Linked DNA regions of Caenorhabditis elegans. The protein of the gene in region 2 interacts with the protein of the main gene of each other region in a pairwise test. Each region holds a gene or a part of one and is shown on either strand. Other genes may lie near its edges.

What was found. Proteins that work in one complex are often made in the same cells at the same time.
Region 1: the proteins of rpl-19 (region 2) and ftn-1 interact in a two-hybrid assay, tested with the Caenorhabditis elegans proteins (one large-scale study listed by BioGRID).
Region 3: the proteins of rpl-19 (region 2) and sta-1 interact in a two-hybrid assay, tested with the Caenorhabditis elegans proteins (one large-scale study listed by BioGRID).

Annotation. Positions count from the first base shown.
Region 1 is NC_003283.11:7,544,705-7,551,586, forward strand, and holds ftn-1 (Ferritin), read right to left. Parts: upstream 2,876-6,882; 5' UTR 2,860-2,875; coding exon 2,803-2,859; intron 2,343-2,802; coding exon 1,989-2,342; intron 1,943-1,988; coding exon 1,841-1,942; 3' UTR 1,764-1,840; downstream 1-1,763. Other genes in the region: putative Na(+)/H(+) antiporter nhx-3, read right to left, coding at 48-134; C54F6.19 (SWIM-type domain-containing protein), read left to right, coding at 783-887.
Region 2 is NC_003279.8:5,482,494-5,489,191, forward strand, and holds rpl-19 (Large ribosomal subunit protein eL19), read right to left. Parts: upstream 3,250-6,698; 5' UTR 3,220-3,249; coding exon 3,215-3,219; intron 3,099-3,214; coding exon 2,888-3,098; intron 2,810-2,887; coding exon 2,559-2,809; intron 2,467-2,558; coding exon 2,337-2,466; 3' UTR 2,286-2,336; downstream 1-2,285. Other genes in the region: C09D4.4 (DUF676 domain-containing protein), read right to left, coding at 1-156, 204-353, 440-512, 565-781, 863-1,018, 1,066-1,207, 1,407-1,617, 1,667-1,751 and 3 more; C09D4.6 (Cytochrome b), read right to left, coding at 4,226-4,657; C09D4.9 (Protein AF-9), read right to left, coding at 4,965-4,997, 5,224-5,289, 5,443-5,511, 5,562-5,588, 5,636-5,665; C09D4.3 (Protein kinase domain-containing protein), read left to right, coding at 5,903-5,912, 6,088-6,149, 6,203-6,459.
Region 3 is NC_003282.8:16,660,431-16,671,582, reverse strand, and holds sta-1 (Signal transducer and activator of transcription 1), read right to left. Parts: upstream 7,264-11,152; 5' UTR 7,262-7,263; coding exon 6,953-7,261; intron 6,857-6,952; exon of another isoform or gene 6,836-6,856; intron 6,581-6,835; exon of another isoform or gene 6,560-6,580; intron 6,477-6,559; exon of another isoform or gene 6,456-6,476; intron 6,374-6,455; exon of another isoform or gene 6,357-6,373; coding exon 6,012-6,356; intron 5,999-6,011; exon of another isoform or gene 5,978-5,998; intron 5,816-5,977; exon of another isoform or gene 5,795-5,815; intron 5,620-5,794; coding exon 5,492-5,619; intron 5,369-5,491; exon of another isoform or gene 5,348-5,368; intron 5,328-5,347; coding exon 5,090-5,327; intron 5,062-5,089; exon of another isoform or gene 5,041-5,061; intron 4,922-5,040; exon of another isoform or gene 4,901-4,921; intron 4,715-4,900; coding exon 4,068-4,714; coding exon of another isoform or gene 4,031-4,067; intron 3,921-4,030; exon of another isoform or gene 3,900-3,920; intron 3,855-3,899; exon of another isoform or gene 3,834-3,854; intron 3,653-3,833; exon of another isoform or gene 3,632-3,652; intron 3,595-3,631; exon of another isoform or gene 3,574-3,594; intron 3,379-3,573; exon of another isoform or gene 3,357-3,378; intron 3,169-3,356; and 27 more. UniProt on the Caenorhabditis elegans protein: Carries out a dual function: signal transduction and activation of transcription. Activated STAT proteins play a role in repression of dauer formation.

The DNA of each region.
Region 1 (6,882 bases), on a different chromosome or scaffold from region 2:
TTAGGATTTTTTTTTCGAACAAAAACTTTTTTTGCACCAAAACTTACCTGAAAACCGTGTTTGGCTTCTTTTTTATCCACTTCGTCTGCTGTTGCATAGCATATCAGCAAGAACACAAATAATTTTGACAGCATCTGCAAATTTTCAAATTTTTAGGTAAAAAAACCTATCAAACTAGAAGCAACTTTTCAAACAAAAATTTGATTTTGAACTATTAAAAAGTATGCATTAACATAAGTTTCAAAAGGCATCGCCAGAAAAAAAAAATCGAAAAGTCATCAATACAATGTAGGGGGCTATAAAAACAACAGTGCCTTGTCTACGATGAAAAAAAGAGAAATCGTAACGTCCCAATTGATACACACATCGTCTTCTGTTACAAGGTAACAATAAAGTGAATCAAAGGTTAAAATGAGATACTGATGATAAACTGATACAATTTGAAAGTAATTGTGTTACAAGTGACGTCATTTGGAAGTAGAGATTAATTAGTTTTCTTGAGTTAGATTTAAAGTTGTAAGTTTTTTAAATTTAAATTTTTCTAAATTTACCAGTAAGCAAAAAATCTCGAAAGGGACGCATTTAAATTTTAAATTTTGAAATTTTTTCCCTCGTGAATGCGGATTCCCGTCCAATCTCTCGTTTTTTTTACTACAAAAATTAAGACTTGATTTTGGTAAAACTATTCCTTCCGTAATACTAATTCTTTCAGAATCGTAAAGCCTACTACAGTAATCTTATCATACTCTACCGTGCCATCACAATACCTGATAAATTCGGAAATGTCGCAGCAAGACCCAACGTGTCTAGAAAAATTTTCGCAGTTTTATACAATAAAATGTTCTCATATTGCAAAAAAACTTTTTCTCACAATAAGAAAACAATGATTTCCAAAGAAGAGTTATTGAGGAAATATTTAGATAGAATGGTCAACCAAAAAAAAATCAAGCATTCTTAGAATCTTCGTCTGTAAGTGACTCATATCCTCAAAATAATTCCTATGTTTTGTTTAATTATTTTTCTTTTTTTCAACATTTTGAGAAAAAAACCAAGACATTAATGAAATTACAGTTTTTCCAACAAACTAAAAGTATTCAATCAAGAAAATAACAAAAAAGTGAAATGAAGCTCAATTCATTAACTTTTAAAATTCAAAATTTGGTTTGAGTAAACCTCCAGTTGAAGCGTAATAATTACCAAAATTCTATCCATATATTTTTAGAGATATTTTAACGAACTTCAAACATGCAAATTAATCAATTTTGGTTTTTTTTTAAATATACACATTATTTAAAGAAATGAAGCTGTTTTGAAAATATAATTAAGAACAAAAATGTACATAAGTGCATTTCAAAAACATTATTGAGCCACGTTGGTTATGAAAACATTCAAAAAATGCCATTGAAAACAAAAATTCTGTCTGAAAGTATACAGAAACTTTTTTAAGTTCTACAACACTTTCCACATCGATAGAGATATTTTTTGAAAATTAGAAATAATTTTTTTGGAAATCTTTTGATATACCCAGAACAAATATATTATGTTGTTTTTGGGAAAACATCTGAAAACGTAGAATTCCACATGGCGCTGTAAACAATGAAAGCTTCTTGTAAGCTTCAATACAAAATATTTCCCTTATATTGTATTAATTCCATATACTAACGGTTTTTCCAAATAAACATTTAAAAAACACCTTATGTGTCTCAGATTTCCGCCACAAAGGTTGAAAAAAGGTTGAACCTTTTTAGGAACTGCTAATCTCTGAAGTTTTCAATGTGTTTCATTTCAGTAAATATACAATTTCATCCATATGTACAATAAATACATCAAATAAAAATTATTAATCAGAAAATTCCTCTTTGTCGAACAAATATTCTCCGAGTCCTGGGCCGGCTCTCTTGATATTTGCAATGTAGCGAGCAAATTCATTGATCGAATGTACCTTAATAAACGTTATAAAAATAGGAGTTTAAACTGAAAATGCCAACCTGCTCTTCCAAATACTTCTCCTGAATGTAATTTGTCAAGTGCGCGTCATTGCGTTGTTCGGCGATTCCATGAAGCTTCAACAAAGATGCATTATTGGCTCTCTCTAGAGCAAGTGCGGCTTCAAATGCTTCAAGGACAGTTCCCCACTCGTCTTTCTCTGGCTTCTGAATGTTCTGCATGGCAACACGTCCTCCACGGACAGCTTGAATTCTCATGAGCTCTGTGGCATGGCCACGCTCCTCATCCGATTGCTCCTTGAAAAATTTGGCAATGTTCCGAAGTGCGATATCATCACGATCGAAGTGTGCAGACATCGATAGATAGACATAGGAGGCGTAGAGTTCTACGTTAATCTGGAAAGGTAATTTAAGCTTTTAATTGAGTAATACTTCTAATTTTAAAAGCATTTCAGTGTTAATTTCGTCCAGTTCAAAAGCAAGCTCAGATAGGATTTTTATTGTAGACGCTTTCAGTCTCACGTGCTCGTCTATCTACTGCCGCCTATTCTGTATATTTTTTTTGGATGACTGGCATAAGAGCAAAGAAATCATCGACGCTGCCATGATCAAATTGCGCTTCTTCAGGTACTGTCTGCCTGCCCTTGTTCGTTAAAAAAAAACAAAATGTTGCCGGTTGGAAAAATAAGCGTGTGGTGTGTTTCAATGTTTTTATTAATCAGTTAAATTCCTAATTTAAAGTAACCAGACATCAGTGATTAATTTTCTCACGACACATCCTCTCTTTTTCTAAATCTCTTCTCAATTTCCAACCTTCCTAATATATTTTTCCCATTTGTCAAAACAATGATCATACCTGTTTATTGACGGCCGCTTCGACTTCATCGTGATAGTTTTGACGAGCTAGAGACATGACGATTTACTTGGCAGAAAATATAATGACTTGATTACGTGTCCGGGACTGTGGGTGTTTTTAAACTGGACAACTCTGGGGGCGGAGTTTGTGATTGTGATCATTGATAAACTGATTATGATTTTTGCACATTACATATTGGCAACGAAAGGGTTCTTGTTTACAGAAACATGCGTTTCAATGAACTAATATGGAAACCTAAGTGTTGAAGTACATTTTGAGAAGCTTAACCTTCTGTAAGAAAACTACATCCAAGGATCGCCGAATGAAAATAACTTTTTGCAGAAGTGTGATGTCCCTTTTCGCCTGGCTTTCTAGCGTCCACATTCACATTACATTTTGATTTTAATATGATGCTTCGTAAACTCATACTTGTCCTGTACTCAAAATTTTTAAACTTAGATATAGGTTATAAACTTGAAAAGTGTTTTTTGGGAGATAAATTATACCAGTATTGTTAGAACGTTTCCAGTGAACGCCCTAAATTCTGAAATAAAAAGTTCCGGTTTTTCCTGATCCAAACAAAACCCAATTCTCATCAAATGATGATCTACACTTTCTTAACGTTGATGTATGGTTGTCTCGGCATCACATGAGCTGCCCTAAGACATGTTGATTAGCATTTATTTTGGCTACGTGCATCAAAATTTAGTGATAACAAACGGTACGTGCCGCTCTTATCATTGGCTACGTGAGCTGTTGACAGTCAAAAGTTGGATGGAAAAAGTGATATAGTTTAACAAAAAAAATTTAAATATTGCGTCAGAATATTGATACTTTTGAATTAGGATGGTTCAGGTTAAAGCGAAATTCAAAAAAAAAACACTGAAAACTGAGCAGACCATTTAATAACTTGAACAAGTATCAAAAATTACAAAAAAACACTTTTCAGTGGAACTGTTTTTTCACAGGCAAAGCGGAAAGTGCCCAAAACGGTCCGTTCACGGACCGGGAACGGCTCAAATTAAAGAACAGTTCACGGTTCGATTCCCGGTCCGTCAACGGACCGTAATTGAACCGTAAGGAGACTAAAAAATGGGAAAATTTTTTCACCCTCCAGCTGCCCCCTTTTTCTTTCCCAATGCTCCAAGCTCCGGTCTTCCTCCAGACCGTCTTCCGGTGATCCTTCGTTGTAGCAATTCTATCTGCCTCAGCCGGGGTTGAACTTGTCCACTGCCTGTCGATTGATTACTGGCCCATCACCTTTCCGTGTGGCCATTCGCGCACGCGAGGAATATCAAGAGACTTCGCATAAATAGCGATCAGCGCATTTTCTTCTGGTTTTCACGGCTTACACCAACTTTTTCGATTGTATTTTCAGTAGTTTCTGATTCTCCATCTTGCCGTTGGACTTATATGAAAACGAACGATAACAATTGACAGTTTCGTGTAGTCCAGAACTTATTTCGCATATTTCTCAACATCTACCTATTTGTGCTCCATCTACTTGTAATACAGAAATGGTACTTACCATATTTCCTCTATTAGTCTTGCATGCAAGACTAATTTTCGATTGGACCGTAGGGTTGCAAGACTAATAGAGGAAATAAGGTATATGCGTTCTACTTGAATGATACCTTAATTTCTTAAAATACACACGGAACAGAAACGATATCAGGAATGATTCCAGAATGTATTGTTAGTAAAATATTTTATGATATTTCAAAAAATGCTCCTGTTGCTCAGCTGAAGAAGACCAGCAGAGAGAGAGTGAACGTTGCGTATACACAGTATCTACCCAATTGTGGCATTTCATCTTTTTTATTGATATTTTTATATACATTAATATAACCTCTTTTACACACAATGTTCTGCTTAATAGCCTCAGTTAGATCGCATGCGATTACGGGCCGCGTACGGACCAGTCGGACAGATGATAGACAAAATGGTTGCCCAGAGGAATTTTTTTTTCATGAAAATTGAGTTTTTGAAGTACCTACAATGCTATTTGGTTCATTGTAGCCAGTTGGTTAATTTTTTGCCTGATTCAAGGTTTAGTTTTAAAAAGTGCAGTTTTGCCGACCGGGACGGGTAATTTACGGACCATCTACGGACCGGCTACGGCCAAACTACGGATGATCACCAAAACGGAGGATAATACGAAAAAATTTTTCATGAAAATGGAGTTTTTGAAGTGCCGAAGAGAGAAGGAGAGGGTACTCTCCTTTAGCTAATTTCAGCACTTTTTCCGTGCTAGAACCTGAAATTTTCAAAAACAAAAATTTGGTGCCCGGGACGGTTCATTTACGGTCCGTCTACGGGCCGGCGACGGACCTTCTACGGACCGGAAACGGCCCAACTACGGCTCAAGAGCCATCTCGGTCGGTAAATGTGGTGTTTGCTCTAAATAATGCATTTAACGACGTAAAAATGCTTAAATTAGCCAACTGGTATCATAGGTATTAAAAACAATTCGTTTTCTTAAAATCCATTTTTTCCTCTTAATGGCCATTTTTTACATTCCCCGTAGTTTGCCCGTAATTGGTCCGTCCCGCTATTCATATCCGTAGTTCACCCGTTAATGGTCCGATCCCGGTCCAAGATCCGTAAACGGACCGTACCCGCTTTGCCTGTGTTTGAAATCATAGAAAAACCCGCATGATTTGTTCACCTCTGCACAAATCACGACAGATTATTAATTGATTCACAAAATTTCAATGTATCTTTTTGAATTTCCGTATTCTACTTTTTAATCTGTCCAGGGATTTGTCGCCTCGGTAAAAAAGCCCGCCACCATTAAAATCATACCGAATCTACCATGCAGAGGTGTCTTTTTCCCATTGTATTTTGTGCACTGGAACTTTTTTCTATTGTAGGTACTCAGCAGGCATTCGGAGTAAGTTGTGGGTTTTCTGAAAAATATAAATGCTGCTGCCACGTGGCTCTCTTTCATTATAATTTTCGTTCAAAAAATTGACCTGAAAACACCTTCTTAATAATATTTAAACTATTTCTTAGATTTTTTTTTTTTTTTTTTTTTTTTAATTAAAACGTGTCTACCACCCATGAGCACATGATTCAATACGTTATTGTGTAAAATTTCAGTCTGTATCGTAAATTGCCATCCAGAAAATTATTCCCCATGCAACGGATGCAAATGCATTTGCTGTAAGTCTCACTTATAGTTGTTCAATTATGAAAAAACAGTTCAGCTTGCTCAAGGTCTCAACCAAAATATTGGAAATTTTCCAGTCATGCGAAACCTCGTAAATAAGTTTTTCAATCAGAATAAAGCAGGAAAACCAAACCCAAAGACATTGTCGCTTTATGTCAATTCTACGTACAGCAAGCAGAAGCTTATCGCGCTGGTGAATAATGTTGGTTTTGTTCTAAGAAAATTTCAGACGAAAAGATCAAAATTCAGAGACAATCAGTCACTCAATGGTGGACACAGGACTTGATACCAGGCATCACAAAGTTCTTCGATAAGCCTACTGCAATCCTGGTAAAATATAAAACTTTTCAAACAAATTGTATTCTGATTATATAAGTGTCCCTTTACAGTTAGATTTCTTTATTTCTACGTTTAGTTTGATGTTAATGTACCAACGAGGTCATTTTCTAAAACATCCGCTGTAACCCCATGCTGCGGAGTAAAAATAAAAAAGATGTAGAAAAATAGTTGTTTTTGTTAGTTTGTGAGATTAGAAAATTAATTATTTTATTTTAGCACCGAGACCTCTATGCGTACTTTGACAGCCGATATGCTAACGACTTCCTCTATACCCTGACCTACTGGTACTTGACGGTTCTCATGAAGGTCGCCGATCTTCCTGATGATGAATATTATGTTTTTGCGGATATCATCGACAACAGTCTAGATGCACGAATGAATAAATCCGATGCAATTGCTTTTCAGGTTTACACTAGAGCCTTTGAAGCAAACCACAATCAAACCCTACAAAAAGGAAAATGGTGAAAAACATTTGCATTCATTTTTTTCTGAATAAATTTATCTCGGCAGAACCAGTAAGCAGAAAGATTATAATAATACGATTATGAAATGTTTTTGTTTAACATAAT
Region 2 (6,698 bases):
TTCCGTTGCTGTATCGCGAGACGGCCCAGGAAATTCCGGAGAGAAATTATTTTCCTGCGAATTTGGAATATTTTTCAACAGTAGACCACCACCTCCATCTGTCGACGTGGTTTCTTTCAGTGTCTTGGTGCGGCTTCGTGAAGTTACTCCTCCATCCTTCAACTTTCTTTCATAATTTGTCATTTTCTTAATAGAAAACATACCAGTTTCCGAGACAGAGACTGTGAGCAATCCAAACTTTTACGTCGAGGATGAATCAACTTTCTAGTCTCGTTACGTAGCTTTTCGCGGAATGATTTGTGTTTTTCATGGGCTTTCACAACCGGCATCGATGCACTATTTGGAATGGTAACCTGAATTTAAAATTTTTTAATAATATCGACTTTTGCAAAAAATTGTGTTGAACACAGCAAAAACAAAATTTTTATAAGAAACAGACCTGCCTATTGGCATTATTCAAATCTAACAATCCAACAGAATTTCGAGTAAAAACATCTTCAAAGATAATCGGGCTGAAATAATTTCTTGTTTTGTGAGAATATTTATAAAATCAATATTATTTACCAAAATTCTCCAGGACAATCAGTTTCTTCGCAGAAAATTGTGCAGCGTGGAAGCTTCCTCAAATAATCCACCTTGATAATAGATTTATAATGTTCGAGAACCGATACTGGTGTTCTTATTAAACATTTATCGATTGGTCGTTCATTTATCCAAAATGCCTCACGAAATACTGCACGACGTTGTTTATCGAAAATGAGAAGCAGTTGTTGATTGAGCTCTGAAAAAATCGATTCCGATTCCGTTCAAGTTTAAAAAAAAAGACAATTTCGGATTAAATTCTTACAGGAATTACACAAACCTTTTGATTTTCGAAAAAGAATCAACATTTGTTGATATATTAGGGTAATTTTAGTGCTCCATTCGCATACATCGGTCTCAACACATCTTGTCGGATGATCTGAGCTATCGAATTGTTGAAGAGCCGCTTTCATCTCTGTTTGTACATCCAGAACAACTGTAAAATAATGCTTTCGAATTAATTAACTTTTTTTTGTTTCATACCAACTGAAACCGATGCATTAATGAGCCGTGAATTATTGACGATGAACTGTTGAATAGATCGAGTTGCGAATAATAAAGCATGTGCAGATGAGTTATAAACTCGTCGGAGTTTTGTGCTTTTTGTAGATGATGCCTGTAATAACTGACGCAACAGTTTGATCAGATTTTTAAACATCAAGCTATTTTTTATATTTATTCAAGCAAAATTTTAAGATTTGATCGTTTTCCGTATTTGAGAACTGCTCAAAATTCAAAAAACACAACGAAAAACCTAGGTGTTTCTTTTTTCAAAATTTTCCAAAACATTCAAATTTTTTCGCAAAAAGCTCGAATATTCTTACCGATTCTGATGCATTTGCCTTCCGTTGCCGCGTGGCTACCATAACTAAACTACTAAAAACACTCATAGTTATCGCAGATAGGTAGGTACTGTCAAAATATAAAGAACGAGCGGCGGCGACGAGTCGTGTTGGATCCAGAGGAATTTCGACAATTCTTTTTGTGATTTTCACGAAGGATTCATATTGTGGAGGATGATAACGGTCCATGTATCTATATTAATTCATGATTTTATGTTTAATCAATTGTTGGACTGTCTTACAATAATTCAATTTCAATTTCTAATTTTTGAGGCTCACACAAGTTCAATGTCGAATTGAATTGCACCGAAATATGGAACCAATCATCTGAAAGTAAGATAAAAAAAGGTGTTTCGATGATTTTATTACCTAAATTGAATTTTTCATGTTGATAAGTTACTTCAACTGTTTTACTGACAGCCGCTCCTTGATAGACATGTGCTAAAAGAATATTACTCGATGTTTTAGGCCTGAAATTAGAGAATATTCCAGTGAACAAATCAATAATCGACGGACCCAGTATCCCGGTCCCCTTCCGTATCGTGTGATATGTCTACTGATCCAATTTCCGCTGTTTTTCGTGGCCTCAGTCGAATCTGAACTGAACGTAAGCGATGATTTGTGGTTTTTAAAAACCTGGTAATAACCCCGATCAGACAAGTCGACGTTGAAGAACTCGCATAATTGAATACTCACATTGAATACCTGGTGAGCTTCAATTCGCATTCTACTCGCTCCCGCCTGAAGAATTATTGATTCCAAGCTATTCAATCCCTAATTAGGGTTAACCCAAGTATCATGAGAGACTGAAAAATGTTACAGTGTTAGAAGGTTACCAAAACTGCAGAATAACAGATTATAAAGAGTTCAACAAATAACTTTATTGACATTATAGAGGAAAACAACAAAGTTTTACTTTCCAGCGATAACCTTCTCGCTCTGGGAAATTTTTCTGAGAAGCTCAGCACGCTTGACGACTTGTCTCTCCTCACGGCGCTTGCGGCTCTCCTTGTTCTTGTCACGTCTGGCTTGAGCTTGGTCACTGAAATCATCAGGAATTTTAATATGAATAATTGATTGAAAGACTTCTCAATAATTTGGAAAAACAAATCATTTAAAAATAGTAAAACTTACGCAAGTTGCTTGGCTCTCTTGTTCTCAGTCTTCTTCTTGAAGATGTACTCGATGAGATTCTTCTTGTTCTTGAAGTTGTTTCCCTTTGCGCGAAGGTAGAGCTCGTGGTAAAGGTGCTTGTCCAACTTCTTGGCATCTCTGTATCTTCTCAGAAGGTTTCTGAGGACACGCATGCGTCGGATCCAGAGGGTCTTTTCTGGCATACGAGCATTGGCAGTACCACGACGCTTTCCGTAACCGGTGTGACGTCCCTAAATTCCAAATATTTTTTTTTAACTTAAAATGTAACTTTTAAAAAATCGACAGCATCAATTAAAAGAAAAATGTACCTTTCTGCGGGCCTCCTCGTACTCGCGTGCGCGGAAGCGGGAGTGGACAGTGACTGGCTTGCGGATGATAAGTCCGTCATTGACGAGTCTGCGGATGCTTTGACGGGAGTTGGCTCCAGAAATCTCGCTGACCTCATTGGGGTCGAGCCAGACACGGTGCTTTCCGCACTTCAATACGGCCGAAGCCAAACGTTTCTGCAGACGGAGATTGCTGAAAAATCAATAATTAAAAATGCAAATTTTGCACAATTCTCAATTAAACGAAAGTCATATCTTCAAAAGACGCTTGGACTGATCTTTCAATTGGAAATGATTTAAAAAACTCACCTCATTTCGTCTTGCTACCCAGTATTTGGAGTTTCCTGTAAAAAATTAATATAAAGTACACAAATAAAGAAATTTTCACGAAAACAACAAAAATTAGCGACACCCTTCAGAGAATCAAAATTTTTGCTTAATGGAAATTTGAAAGCTATCATTTTCTAATTTTGTACATCAAAAATTAGGCAAAAAAATCATTCCAAGGCTTGAAAAATCGAAAAGAAGTTTAGGAATTGAAGAGAAAAACTGCTATTTCCTCGTTTCACTACGAGACCTGAGCGCGTCAAAGGCGCATGACTACGGTAACACTCGTTTCAGCTGTGTCGTTTTCTTTTCATCGCATCTTCAGCAAACAATTGTGTTGATATTTTGAATAAAATTTTCGGGGGTATTGCATATTTTATTGTTTCATATTTTTTGGACATTTATTTAACACATGTATTTTAGAGATTTCTCTTACAAAATCTGAAAAATTTAGTTAGTGGTATTTATAAGTTGTTGGTTAAAGACAATTGTTGATAAGTTCTTCAGAATTTGTTAAAAATCATAGGTATTAGATAAAAAGAAACTCACAATTTTAGTTCAACGCGATAGTCAGAACGAATGAAAGTATTCCGAATAGCACTATTTTGAGGTGTGTTTCAAAACATTGTGAAAAATTACGAAATTTTGAAACACAACAACTTTATTTTTCGATGCTTTATTTTATTGTGAGGAAGTTTCTCAAAATTTAGAATGATTAAGGTACGAGAGTTATCAATCCATATGCAAATTATCCACATGATCAATCCTTGGTTCTTCTCCCGGATCATCTGGACCGAAAATTTCCCAATAGTGTGCCATTAAAATGACATCAAACATTATTAAACAACTTGATGCTATTGAATACCAGAAAAAATCAAGGTGCGCCTGTGATAATATTTCAGACTACAGATTGTGAGGAAACCTACGAAACTGAAAGAGATACCACATAGCATAACTGTTTTGAAGGCTCTATCGTACGAAGGAGAAATTGCTCTATTCTGATTCCAGTAAAATGGGTCCGCCACCGAGAAAGTTGGGAATGTTCCTGGACCAATGTTTAAAAGATACCCGAAAAATGCAAAAAGTAGAAACGATACGATTTGGGTGATCTGAAATAGTAAAATCTAGGAAAAGGATTGAAATATCACGTACAGTGCTAGGGGCGATCCATACAATTCCAACAATTACAATAATGACAATTATCATTGAGAAATGTGTTAGAACCATTTGCAGAGCAAAACTTCTTGGACAAATTACATTTCCAAACGTTGATCTCGCGATTCGTTCAATATGTAAAAACATAAAAATTGTGAGAATTAAACTGAAAGTATACGACTCCATCGTCGAAATTCCAATATTTTTGAAAACTTTAAATGACCCGAATATCAAGTACATATATCCAGTGGCAAATGAAATAATAGGCATCGTGTGAAATTTTTTTGTAGAATTCAGCCAGAAGTGTCAGAAATTTTTAGAAAAAAAGCCAATACATCTTGAAACCCTAAAATTAGAAAGACATACTTATCGCTCCCTCTCAACGGGCATCGGGTAGTCGTAGAGATTCAGAAAGTGTCCAAGGAGATGTCAGAAAATTCAAAACTTGTCGTTGATCATTAATCTCGAGTGAAAAAAAAATAGAAAAACAAATTTGACTTCAAAACTATTTATTGAAATTAAAAATAATTTTAAAAAGTCAATCGGACAAATGTACGAAAAGATCTTCATGTTGGTTTTAACCTTTGTAGCTGAGATTCTCATACACATTCTGAAAGTAAAACATTATATTCCTGCGGATGGGTCTCGCCACGCGAAGTGTAATTTTGTGGGTATGCACCTTTAAGATTACTGTAGACAGAAGATAGTTTTTTTAAAATAAGTAACTGGAAATTTCCTGGAAATTTCCTACAGTAATCTTAAAGGAGCATACACGAAACATTTTGAAACATATATAGCGTATCCTACTAGTGAATCACAGTAAAATAAGAACCTACATCTTCTTTAGGCTTCGGAGGGTCTGCCCGGTGACTATTACTGCTCGACGACGATGGCTTCATGTTCTGAAAATTAAAAGTATTTCGGAAGCATGCCATTATCAAAATTTTGATTAAAAAAACTTCATTGAACTTCTGTTACGTGGCAACATTAGGCAAAGGTTCATTAGTGACCGTGAAAATGAAAACTCGGCCACTATTGAGGGGAAGAGGATTTACCTTAGACTTTTCTTGGTCTTCTCTATCCGATTTCGGCGTTGATTTTAAAGATGGTGCCGACGAAGATTTCTGAACAAAAATTGAGTTTTTTAGATATTTTTCTGAAACAAAACACATACAGAGACAGTTGGATTCGATGGTGTTTTCTGAAACAGAACAATAAAATGAACATTTCCAATATTAAAATTCTTACCGAAACTGTTCCACTCCACTTTTGTCCCATTATTTTCAGAAGAGAATCAATGCAAACAACAACGTCAAAAATTGTTTTCTCGGTAACGGAGAATGAATTCTAGAAGACTTAAAATAATAACATCTCACGTTTTTGTTTGTGACCCGCCCCCGTGTCACACTTGTTGGAATTTTTTTGGGCAGATGAACTTTGAAGATTAGGAAAAAAAATCAATACTGAATTTATCACACTCAGTTTTCGAAGGATTAAAGTTCTACTGTGATCATCATGGCGACTGGTAAGTCATTTTCAGCTGGAGATTTACGTTTTAGAAATCTCCTGGAATCTTCTAGAACTTTTGAGATGCGGATATTGGACTATTGTAAATATGAATTGTACTTTAAAGCATTCAAAATAGTCTATAGATTTACATTGGACATTTTCTAATCAATTCTTCAAATACTTATTTTCAGCGTTGGATCAAACCGACATGGTTCAAATTCCCAACACTCCAACATTGGTTGCCGAGGAAAATGTACGATCAAGCTTCCGATCTCTCTTCATCTTTAGAATATCAAATCATTTCAGTTGAACCACAAACGCTCTAAAGCAAATCTCGTGGTGGCTCAAGAGTCTGTCGCAATGGAGCACATCGCTGCTCATCAGCTTCCAGCTCCCGAGCCACGTCATCGTGGACCGGCGATTAAGGATAAGCCGGAGAGAAAGGATCGTCTTCCGACGGTTGGAGAATATTTTGAAAATGATAAAGGAGATCGTTTCATTTTGCGTCAGAAGCTGGGCGATGGTGCAATGGGACATGTTTTTCTGAGCATTTTTGGTGGCAGGTTTGTAGCTTATTTGGTTTTTTGCTCTTTCCAAATCGCGGCAACTTTAAAAGAAGTGCGTCACGCGAACTATTCCACGCAAAATTTATGTGGTTTTCTGAAAACTACCACATCGTACCATGGGTTCATAATGCCCTTTGAGGCATTATGCGTACATCTCAAATAAATGTCCTATTACTTTTCCAGAATTGTAGATCATTTTCTAGTTTACTCACTTCATTAAATTTCAGAACAAACCA
Region 3 (11,152 bases), on a different chromosome or scaffold from region 2:
TAACATTTTCCTGAAACAGTAAAATTAATTTTTTTTTTTTGGTTAGAATCACGTGCTTATATGAAACTTTCTAGCTTCCTGTCTCCATCGTGGAACAGATCAAAACATTCGATTTACAGTAAAATAATTTATTGGATGAGATCAGAAATCACTTGTGATTATTAATATTATTTTCAGTAAATATTGTCAAAATAATATTAGATTATCAAAGAATTGAGGAAGATGGACAGCACGAAAGAAGCAAAGATATGAATACTAAACTGGAGACAGAGAAATTCAAAAAGAGGTAATTGGGGGGACTGTTTTAACATTTAAATAGTGTTTTATGAGGGATAAAATTGATTGTGGTGCTGTTGCATCATTCCCTGTTGGGACATATCCACAAAATGAAGGTTATGCTGATGATTTCCATCGTGTGGATTGTAGTTTGTGATATTATTCTTGAATGCTGGTCCCAATAGAGTTTCTACATCTCCCGACATATCCGAGACTGTTAGGATTTGACCAAGTTCGTCGGACCTGGAAAAAACAGTGGAATTAGCATTGGAGCGCATTTTGTAATTTTTGGAAATTTCTTTATCGAATGTCACTTTAGATGAGATGTCATTAGTTTGATAACGGCCACTGAGAAAGCGACTTCTCGCCGCGTTCGTGGTGTAATGGTCAGCATGGATGCCTTCCAAGCATTCGACGGGGGTTCGATTCCCCCCGAACGCATAAACTTTTTGAACACATCACTCACATCTCCATCATATGATTCTGATGAACCTCCCCGGGTGACCAATCCAATTTGCTTTGAACCGACAACGGTGACGGAGAATCTGCACCAAACATGGACGGTGCATTGGACATTCGTCTGAAATTCCTAAAATAAACCGAATTTCTAAACTTTCCATCTGTAACCTACCCATTTGTTTTTGCAACCATGACAATTTCACTTTGAATATATCCAGTTGGACTGTCACCACCGCCCACGCGATGACGCTCCTCGGACTCGAAGAAACGCAGCATTTCTTCTTTATCGATTGCCGGGTACATGTATCTGAAATTTAGAGGTTTTTATTTCATGTTTCAAAATTTGTAAGTTAAGAGGAACGCTGTTAGTTATGTGTTGCTACCTTAATTAACTCGGTTGAAATAAAAAATTTTTCACTGTTTCAAGAATTTGTGAGAAAAATTGTTGTTTTCTAATTTCAATTTCTATTGGTAGAAACATTTTCACATTTTACATGTCTACAATGTATTTTGAGAGATTACAGCTCAAGTCAATGTTTTGTCAAACCTTAAAAATTGGGTCTCGACTCTAAAATCTGCGACTTCTGGAAAAATTTAAATTTTTCAGAAACATGATTTACAAATAGACAATTTGAAACATTTTTTGTCATTTTTTGAAGAGGCATTGTCCGAATTCTAAGCCATGATCTTATCTCTTTTCAGTGAAACAGAAAAATATTTTCATTTTGCGTTTTTTTTTAATTCGTATTTTTAATAGGCTGGCGGTTATTTTTCAAAGTAAAATAAGAATTATAAACCGTTGCGAGACCTTGTTTTTTTTTCAAAAAAAAACTGAGTGATTCACTAATATTTTTGAATATTAGACTTTGAAAAATGAACAACTTGAAACATGCTTTGGCATTTTTCCAAAATAAATTGCTTTAAATTCATCAGGCTTTCTAAGTAGGCGCTAAGGCCTTGTTGAAGCTGTAGGTAGGCAAGTCGTTCTGCCTACATTGCTGCCTACCATTGTTTCAACTAAGCCGAAAATTTAAATGTAAGTGTTATTATTTCAATTAATTTAATGGCAAAGAAATGAAACACATTCTTCCCCTGGTAGAAGGCACACGTCAGGCGTAGCTTGCCTATAGTCAAACAGTAATTTTCGGCCCAACATAGCAGCCCTTACATCGATTGTATCTAATATTTTCAAACTTTCGACCAGATGTGAGATGTTTACTGATGTTAGAAATTAACCGATAATTTATCAACAACCTGAAACAGCATAATTTTTTTTTAATTCACTAATTTCAAAATTTGACTTTCTTGAAGAATTACACCGTAGGCAGACAGGCTAACTTTTTTGCCTTAGAATTTTTATAAAAACGATTAGTTTTTTGAGTTACTCCGTGCAGTTTTCACAATTTCCGGATTTTATTTTAGTAAAAATTCCACCCAGTTTCAGTTAGTTATTATTCACGAGCGCATGTTTCTGCATTCATTCTATTTTCACACCGTTATTATCCAATTTTAAAAAGTGTCATTTGTAACCCACTTTTGCCTATAACGAGAAAATTCAAAAAATTACAGTTGGAGTAAAAACGGAAAATAGGCGGTAGGCAAGTAGGTAGGCAGGCAGGAGGTGTCCAGTTATAGAAAGTGTTCATGTTAACATTTCATGTACTTTCATGATGTTTACTAATTGGATCCAAAAAATATTTTTAAAAAATATATCAGAAAAATGGGACTGATGTTTTTAATAATTATTCAATGAAACAGTAGAAAAATGAAATATTTGGAAATGAAACTTTTTGTTCAAAACTGCTGTGCTGACAGTTCTTATAATAAATTATTAAAAATCACAGTATCGAGATGGTGATGAGACCTAAAAAGTACGGAGAAAAGTGTATTTAACAATTATACAATTGATGCCATTTTCAATATCGTTCAATGAAAAAAACCATATAAAATTATTTAGTGAAACAATAGAAAAAAAAAAAATTTTTTTAAATTCCTGTATTTTATTTAAATTGGCAATTTTAACTTTCATTTGAATATTTTTGTAAAATGATCACAGTTTCAAAAGATTTAGATCAAATTATAATGATGCATTTGTTGTAATAAGTATTTCGGAATTGCAACATTAACAAAAGAAGGGACAACTTTTATAATTCTTAAGTGAAACAGTTGAAGTTTTTTTTCAAATTTTTGTTAATTTTGTTCAAAATAACTGCTGACATAATTTATATCCACGTTCAGAAATATTATCAAAAGTGCTTCAGCCTGAACGGTGAAATCATAAATCACATAATTTCCAGCCGGGCCGCAGAAAATAGGTGGTAGGTAGGTAAGCACAAGGCAAGAAGGTGTATTTCTTAGTACTGATGTGAATGTGAAAAATGTGAACATTATTTATATATATTTTTCAGGGTGATTCACAAAGATTAGAAATATCAAACGATTGCAATTGAAGCTATTTATGATTATTCAATGAAACAGTAGAAAATTTGAACTTTTTCTCAAATTTTTCCAATTTCTTAACCACATAAAAAATATTTGTTTTGTTTAAATGTGCCAGTTTTCATAGCAAAATTTTGAAATTCAAAGGTTTCAAAACGTGGTAAGACCCGAAAATTGTTGTTATGAAAGAGAATGCAATAAGAATGCAATAACTTCAAACCAAATGATAAAAGTATTTAGTGAAACAGTATAATTTTTTTTCATTTTTTCAATTTTCTTCACACTTATTTTTTACTGTAACTGAACAAACTTAACATCTTGTTAAGTTTTCACTCCTAAAATTAACTTTTATTTACCCTTTTTTTTTATTTGGCACTTCTGACTTTAATTTTAACATTTTTTGTTTAAATTGATCACTGATTGAAAAGAGTTTAATCAAATTATAATAATTAGAAAAGATGAAGGAGTATTTTCTTAACATTAAAAAAAGAAGGAACAACTTATATAATTCTTAAGTGAAACAGTTGAAGTTTTTTTTTTTTTGGACGGTGAGAACATAGATCACATAATTTCCCGCCAGGGCGCAGAAAATAGGCGGTAGGCAGGTACGTAGGCAGGTACGATACTTACGTCCCAGTAATCGCGTGAAAATTCAATTCACTTTCGTGGTTACAGAAATATCAAACTATTGCAATTGAGGCTATTTATGATTCTTCAATGAAAAAGTAGTATTTTTGAACTTTTTATTTTTTGTCCAATTTCTTAACCACATAAAATATTTAGTGAAACAGTATAATTTTTTTCATTTTTCCAATTTTTTTTAAACATTTCCATTTTTGACCGTAACTAAGCATACTTAACAACATGGTAAACTTTTCGCGTCTAAAACTAACCGAATATCCTTCAATTGTGGACATGAAGCAATACGACTTGCCAGTGACAATTGATCCAAATCCTTAATAGTAAAAGGTGCCAAATGAAATGGAATCTTTTGTCCATCAGCCTCTTCACAAACAAAACCAATCGATACAGCACCAGTTTGACTGTCAGAGAATCTCAATAAAAATGAAGAGTGCTGACACATCATCATACTTTGAGACGCATCATTTTTTGAAATAAATCCAATGCACCATCCCTCATCCCAGAATTTGAGCAGTTTTTGTTTGATTAATTGCATTATTGAGAAAAACCATTCCCAAAATGAGAATGGTAAGTCATCTCTCATTGCCTGTTTTGCGAATCGATGAAATGTGATTGGCTTCTGATCTGCCACATTTGGCATTAACATTTTCTCACTTAAATATGCCAAATCTGAATCTGAAAGTGGACGACGTGCTCCCGTGAATAAGGAGAACTTGTTTCGAAGCATTATTGCTAGATTGTCCCATGTCACAGCTGTCACATCAGTTGTATTTGGATTTCTGCTGATTGAGGCGAATGCGCGGTGCCAGAGAATTGCAACTTGCGCGTCACAGTCTTGAGATCCGTGTACTGTAACCATTATTGGAAGAGAAAGTGTCCAAACGTCGAATTGTTCTTCCTGTTAAATTTTAATTGATAGAAATTGGAGGACATATTAAATTTTGAAAATTAAGAGTAGCTGAAACAGTGAAAATTCTCAAGTTTCTTTACACTTTTTTGAATATAGAATTACTGCTTTTACTAATCCAGTTAGAAAATTTCAGTAATTCAAAGTGAAAACCGAAAGAAATGTTGGAAATGTTTGGTTCAACCATTGTTCGTTTATCAGACTCAAATTTTGAAATAAATTTTAAACTTTTTGTTGAAACAGTGAAAAAATAAAAAATAAATGTTTTGCTGTTTCACGTTGTTTTTAAAAGATTTTGCATTTGAGTTTGAGTTACTGACTACGTTCAAAAAAAATCAAGTCATAATTGAAATATCAACAACTTACTTTGCTCAAATTACCCATTTGAAAAGGTGTAATAAAGAATAAAAGAGCATATTTCTGATCAGTAGCTGCCTGCATACTTGCTGCACATTTCAAGTCAGATGCTCCTTTTGGGGGCGGTTTTCTGTGTGCAATTCTTGTCAATTTTGAATTATTGAATTTTGCCGCCAAGTGTCCTCTTTCATTCATTGTGAGCTTCTCGAAATCATTGGAAATTGTGCCAACTGTCTTGTTGTTACGGCTGAAAAATATTAGTGTTGAATATAGTGATACAACTACAAATTAACCACAAAAAATAAGAAAAGTATATAAAAATAATACGAAAAAGTATAAGTTTTAGAAAAAAAAATTTTCTCAATTTTTCAAAAATTTACTGTTTCAAATTTTTCATTAAAAAAAACTCACATTTCCTTATGTGCATCATAGTCAACACTCAACTGCTTGGCTTCATCTTCTGCTATAATTTTCACTGAAACATTTGTGTTCACCAGGTGTTGACGAATTCCCAGCTTATCGCCAATGAGAAGACGGACCTGGAAATTTTAGTTTTTTTTTGTAATTTTATTGAAAAATCAGGATTCTGAAATTGCTGCGTCCCACAGCGGAAACTACAGTAACCCGTAAAATTAGGTGGGGTGGAACTGTAGTTTTTGTGGTGGGACCCAGAAATTTTCAAGCTGAACAAATGCGTGGCACACATTATATTCGAATTGAACTTCTTAAATAAAATTGTTGAGTATGACTTACATATTTATTTGAATGACTTTTGAAACGGTAAAGTTTTAATTAAAATTTTTGAATTTTTTTTTATTGTTTCTTATAATTTGCTTGAATTCTAACTAAGTTGGGTCTCGTCACGACGGTGTGGTTTTCGCGGCGGGACCCACCAAAATTTGACATGTATAATTTCCATTAAAAAACAAACCTCAGTGACAAATTTATGTTGAGTCTTCAAAACAGGTTCCGGTTGAACGGAAACAATAAAACTCTGTGAAACCAGCATAAAAAGTAATTTGTTCAATTGTTCTGTAATTGCAGTCAACTTTCCAATTGTTGCCTGAGCGAGCCCATCATTTAACTGTGGAGCACGTCGGAGCAAGTCGAGCATCCAACACGAGAACATGTTAAGCTGCCAGTTTTGATCAGCGAGAAATTCGAATTCAATTTGAATTTCATCAAGCAGCTGTTCGCGATTATCGAAAGGCATTCCGATTTGGGCAAGTTTTTGGGCATTTTTCCAGGAGAACAGCTTTTCGCCAATTAGTTGGGTCTGGAAATGAAGATTGATTAAAATATTGCAACGCATAGAAAATTTGATTAAACTGTGAAACAGTATTTTTTTAAAAATATTTCTCTTTAAAAAAAATTGTCAAATTTTATGCAAAATCAATGTAAAAGGAAAAAAAAGATTAAATTTGATAAAAGTGTGAAACTGTAAATATTATAACTAACTTTTTTTCAGATAAGAGAGCTAGATTGCAGGCCAGTTTTAAAGTATGACATTTTCGCGCGTTCAATATATGAAATGCATGGGAAACATTAAATTTTTAATTAATTTTTGTATTTCAGTTCATTTTTGATGTAATTTCATATTAAAAGATTTCTTAATGCTTTTTTTAAACAAAACATTCACTTGAAACATTAAAAGAATAAAAATATTTTTAGCATGAATTTACTGAACATGCAAAATTCTTCAAAATTTGAAGGATTTTTCAAAAAAGTAAATCTTGTATTAGAGTTTTTTAATGGAAATGGTCTTCGACAGTCAAGTAAAGTAAAAAATTTTAATTCATATTTCACAAAACTTTGAAACAGTAAAATTTTTTTTATGTTTTTTTCATATTTTTTCACATTAGAAGAACCAACCTGTAGCATCGTCGCAAAATTGGTGCCATCATTAAGTTTAATGACAATATCATTTCTTTTCTGTGTCAAATGCTCATAAAGTGTGGCTGCTCTTTTCTGTAACTCTGTCATTTGCTGTTTCACAGTGAATACATTTTCTAGTCTCTGTTGCTGTTCCAGCTGTGCAATGACCATTTGCAGACGTTGAAGCTCGCCGAGTTCATTCACAAATCTGCCTTGGAGGTCCTTATTCTCTTCCCACAAGTGATGGCAGGTCTTTGAGACGTCGGTTAGAGCTGTTTGAAGCTCTTGCGACGATGAGCCCATCATGTCTGGAAATTTCAGATTTTTAATGAAGGGAATGGGAAGACAAGGAGGTAATAAAAAGGAAACGTTTTCAAAGAAAAATTTGTGAAAAAAAATTGGTTAAAAATTTTTTTACAGTTTCAAGAATTTTATTTCATTTTCAGTGTATTTTCAGAATCGACGTATACTTTAAAAAATTTTTTACTGTTTCAAATAAGTGATTAAATTTTGAAAGATTTTGTTAATTTCAATTTGATTTTTCACTGTTTCTGAAAACTTTCAATGTAGCATATTCGCTTGACAAAACATATTCATTTTCATCAATAATTATGAAAAAAAAAAAGAAAATATGTACGTGCAATGCAAGAAAAAATTGCGAAAACTTTCAATTTGTGCGAGTTGTTGAAAGAGCCGTGGCTCTGCACAAGAACTCGAAGGAAAAAACTAATGAGAAGTTGTTGGCTCAAAAAAGCGGAAAATGGGCAAGAGATGCAGAGAGCAGAAACACTTGGAAATGTATAAGAGCTCCAGGAGCACACACACACACGGGAGAGAGTATCAAAGAGAGCACAGAGACGCAGACAGTGTTACACACCGCTAGACGCAGAGACTTGTGTGTTTTCACACCACTTTTCCCCTGTCTCAGCTGATATCTGTGATGATTGGGGGGACGGAAAAAAATGGAGATATTATTGAGGGATTAGAGAAAAATATGTTTTTTTTTTCAAAAAAAAAATCGTTCAAATTAATTTTGAAACAGTAGTGGTTTTTTCAAGTTATTATAAAATGAGCTGAACATGAACATTTAAGGTTCTACTTGTATTACCCAACCGTGAAATTTTGCGCGAAAATTACTGTATCGGGTCTCGACGCGACAAATTACTGTTCAAATGTTCTAAAAATGTTCGAAAGTATGTATGTTTTTGTGGTTTTTATTCAAATATTTTTTATTGGAAAACAATTTGAAAAATCTGGAAAATTTTCAAATTTTGGGTGAACGACGATTTGACGGAAATTTTGGAAAATTTTAACATTTTTCCACTGTTTCAAGTTGTCTTTAAAAATACCAACATTTTATTTATACGTTGCTAGATTTATTCCAGTTTTTTATTCTGAGTGTATGAAGTTCTATTATTATTTCTCACTACTGTTCTAGCATTTTGAGGATTATAAAATGTGGTGTTGAAACCGAAAATTTAGTTTTTTTTAATTTTTTTTCGGCCAAGCTGAAATAATTTTGCGTGTTTTAAAATTGGCTTAGAGTCTGGAAATTTTATAACAATCTGACAAGTAATCTGAATATACCGGGAAAAAGAAATTGAAAAAAAAATTATACTGGGGCTATTTCTATATGGAACCTTAAAGATTTCAAACTTGAGAAGAAAACAATACTGTTTCAGATTACTGATATTGTCTGAATGTATAAAATGGGGTAATACAGTGTTGAAAATGAAGGTAGTATAATATTTTAGAAAACATATATATTGTTTCAGATTGCTTACATATGAATCGAATAATGTTTCTCAATATTTAAATTTTTTTCAAGTTTAATGCTGCTATTGTCGGAAAGCAAAAATTGTCAAACATTACTTCGAAGTTCGATTTCACTAGTTAGTGAGCTGAAGTTTCGTTTTTTGTTCAAACTAGGTAATTAATAGAGCTTATAAGACTTACAAGTTCAAATTTTTAGAAAAAATGTATCTTGTTTCAGATAAGTCAAGTATCAATGGCAATTTTTAATTGAAATAACACAAAAGGCACAGCAAAATTTACAGAAAGTTGGATGAAAAGTTTACTGTTTCAGGTTACTCATATTCAATATGGAAAATGAATTGTTATCGATTATCCTTCTGTATTACATCCTAATAAGGGTCATTTACAGTTAGATATAAATTGAAATTTTTCTATCAATTATTTCGTTTTACAGAGCATTCCAACTTGGAAAATGTGCTTATGTTTCATGGTCATGAGAAATAAAAAATTTACTGTTTCTAACTGGTTTTTAATATTTTCAAATTGTTTTTTTTTTTGCTTTAAATTAATACAGAATCTTTACTCGTTTTAAATTAGCGAAATTTTGACTGTTTCAACAAGTTATTAAATTTTAAACTCGTTTTGCATATTTTGATCGGGTTATTGATTTACCACTATCGACAAATAGATTCTGATACTAAAATCAGGAATTTCAGAGAGAATTCCCAGCTAACAATTAGTGGAGGACAGAAATGCAGTTTTCATTTTCAGATTGACTTTTCTCTTACTAAAGTGTTAAAACTTTAAGTTTTAGAAAATTGGACAAAAAAAATTGACTGTTTCAGATTGTTAATGTTAATCGAATAAATTCTCGGCCGTGCTGTGACTTCTTTTCATGTTAAGAATTCATTTTTCAATTTTGTAACACTTCGAAGAAGTATTTTGTTTCAAATTAGAAACATATAAATTGGTATTCCAAAGACATAAATTTACGTTTTTCGGTGGCTAATAGTAAGACAGGCTGGGATGTGTCCTAATATCACGTTTTCAAAATATGGAAATTCATGGAATACGTGAAACAGTACATTTTTTGTTCAGTAAACTAAAATTTTAAATTCGGCAAAGAAATTCCATGTAGGCGTCAAAACGTCTGCCTGCCTGACCTTAAGGTGGCCTACGCCTGCCTCTTGCCTCAACCTGCACCTTATGCTGAAACATATGAAAACTCTTTTTTTTTTAATTTCTTAATTTGATTTTCAAAAAAATTGAATCAAACCAAAACGCATGAAATAGGTAAAAGGCCGGCGTTAGGCGAGCAGGTTTCAGGCAGGCACTGAAACTGCGCCTGCCTGGAAGCCCTGACGTACACGTAGAAAAAGGCAAGTGAATCATCTCGAACCTCGATTTTTTTCTGAGTTTTTGAAAAATCAGCTAATGTTTCAAGGTCCTGAGAAAATACATGGGGTTTAGTAATTTTTCGTTTTTTTCTGCAGCAAAGAATCACAAGAATCATGTTTTTTATTTTTTGTGAAAATTCGAAATTTTTTACTGTTTCTAAATAGCATTCTATATTTTTAAAATTTGCTTCAAATTAATAAGAACTGGCTTCTGTGTGGAATTTAACAATATACAATTTGTGGAAGTAATTGTAAATTTTTACGGTTTCAGCAAGTTTTCATAAATGAAACTCGTTTTACATATTTTGATACTTGACGGGACCAATTAAACTACAGGTATGCCTTCCAGCCTCTATATTGGCTGAATTTTGGGCCTAAAGGCAGGCAGTAGGCAGTCTTTTTGCTTTAATAAAATTCAAAAAATGAGCTCATGTTTCAGGGTCATCAGAAAATATAGACGAGAATTCGGAATTTTTATTAAAACGTACGGAAAAAATTATCTGGAAAATAAATCCGAAAGCTATTGAAAAATTTTCACTGTTTCTACACAGTAGTTTCTATTTTGGAATTTTTCTTCAAATTAATTAAGTGTTCATTTGATGCACTATAAAATTCTTAAAATAACAAAATGTTTACTGTTTCAACACGTTTTTAATTTTCAAACACGTTTGGCAATTTTAATAAGTTCTTCTTCGGGGTAAAAGAATTCACCGTTAAAAAAAAATGCTCAGACCCCGAAAGTTTCGGTTTCAAAAAAAAATTTAAAAATATCGAGAAATTTTTTTTTTCGAAAGTAAAAATAATTTGACAATTTCCTTGGTTGGCACGCAAACAGGCGTTCTGTGCCCACAGCAGCAAAACTTCATTGTTCACTGTGAAAATCCAAAATTTTAGCTGTTTCAATGTAGTATTCTATATTTTCAAAATTTGCTTCAAATTAATTACACTGCTGTTGTAAAACTTGTTCGAGACATCAAATTTCTATATCTAATAGTTTGAAAAATGAAAACATTTATGAAAGGAATTTCAAATTTTTACGGTTTCA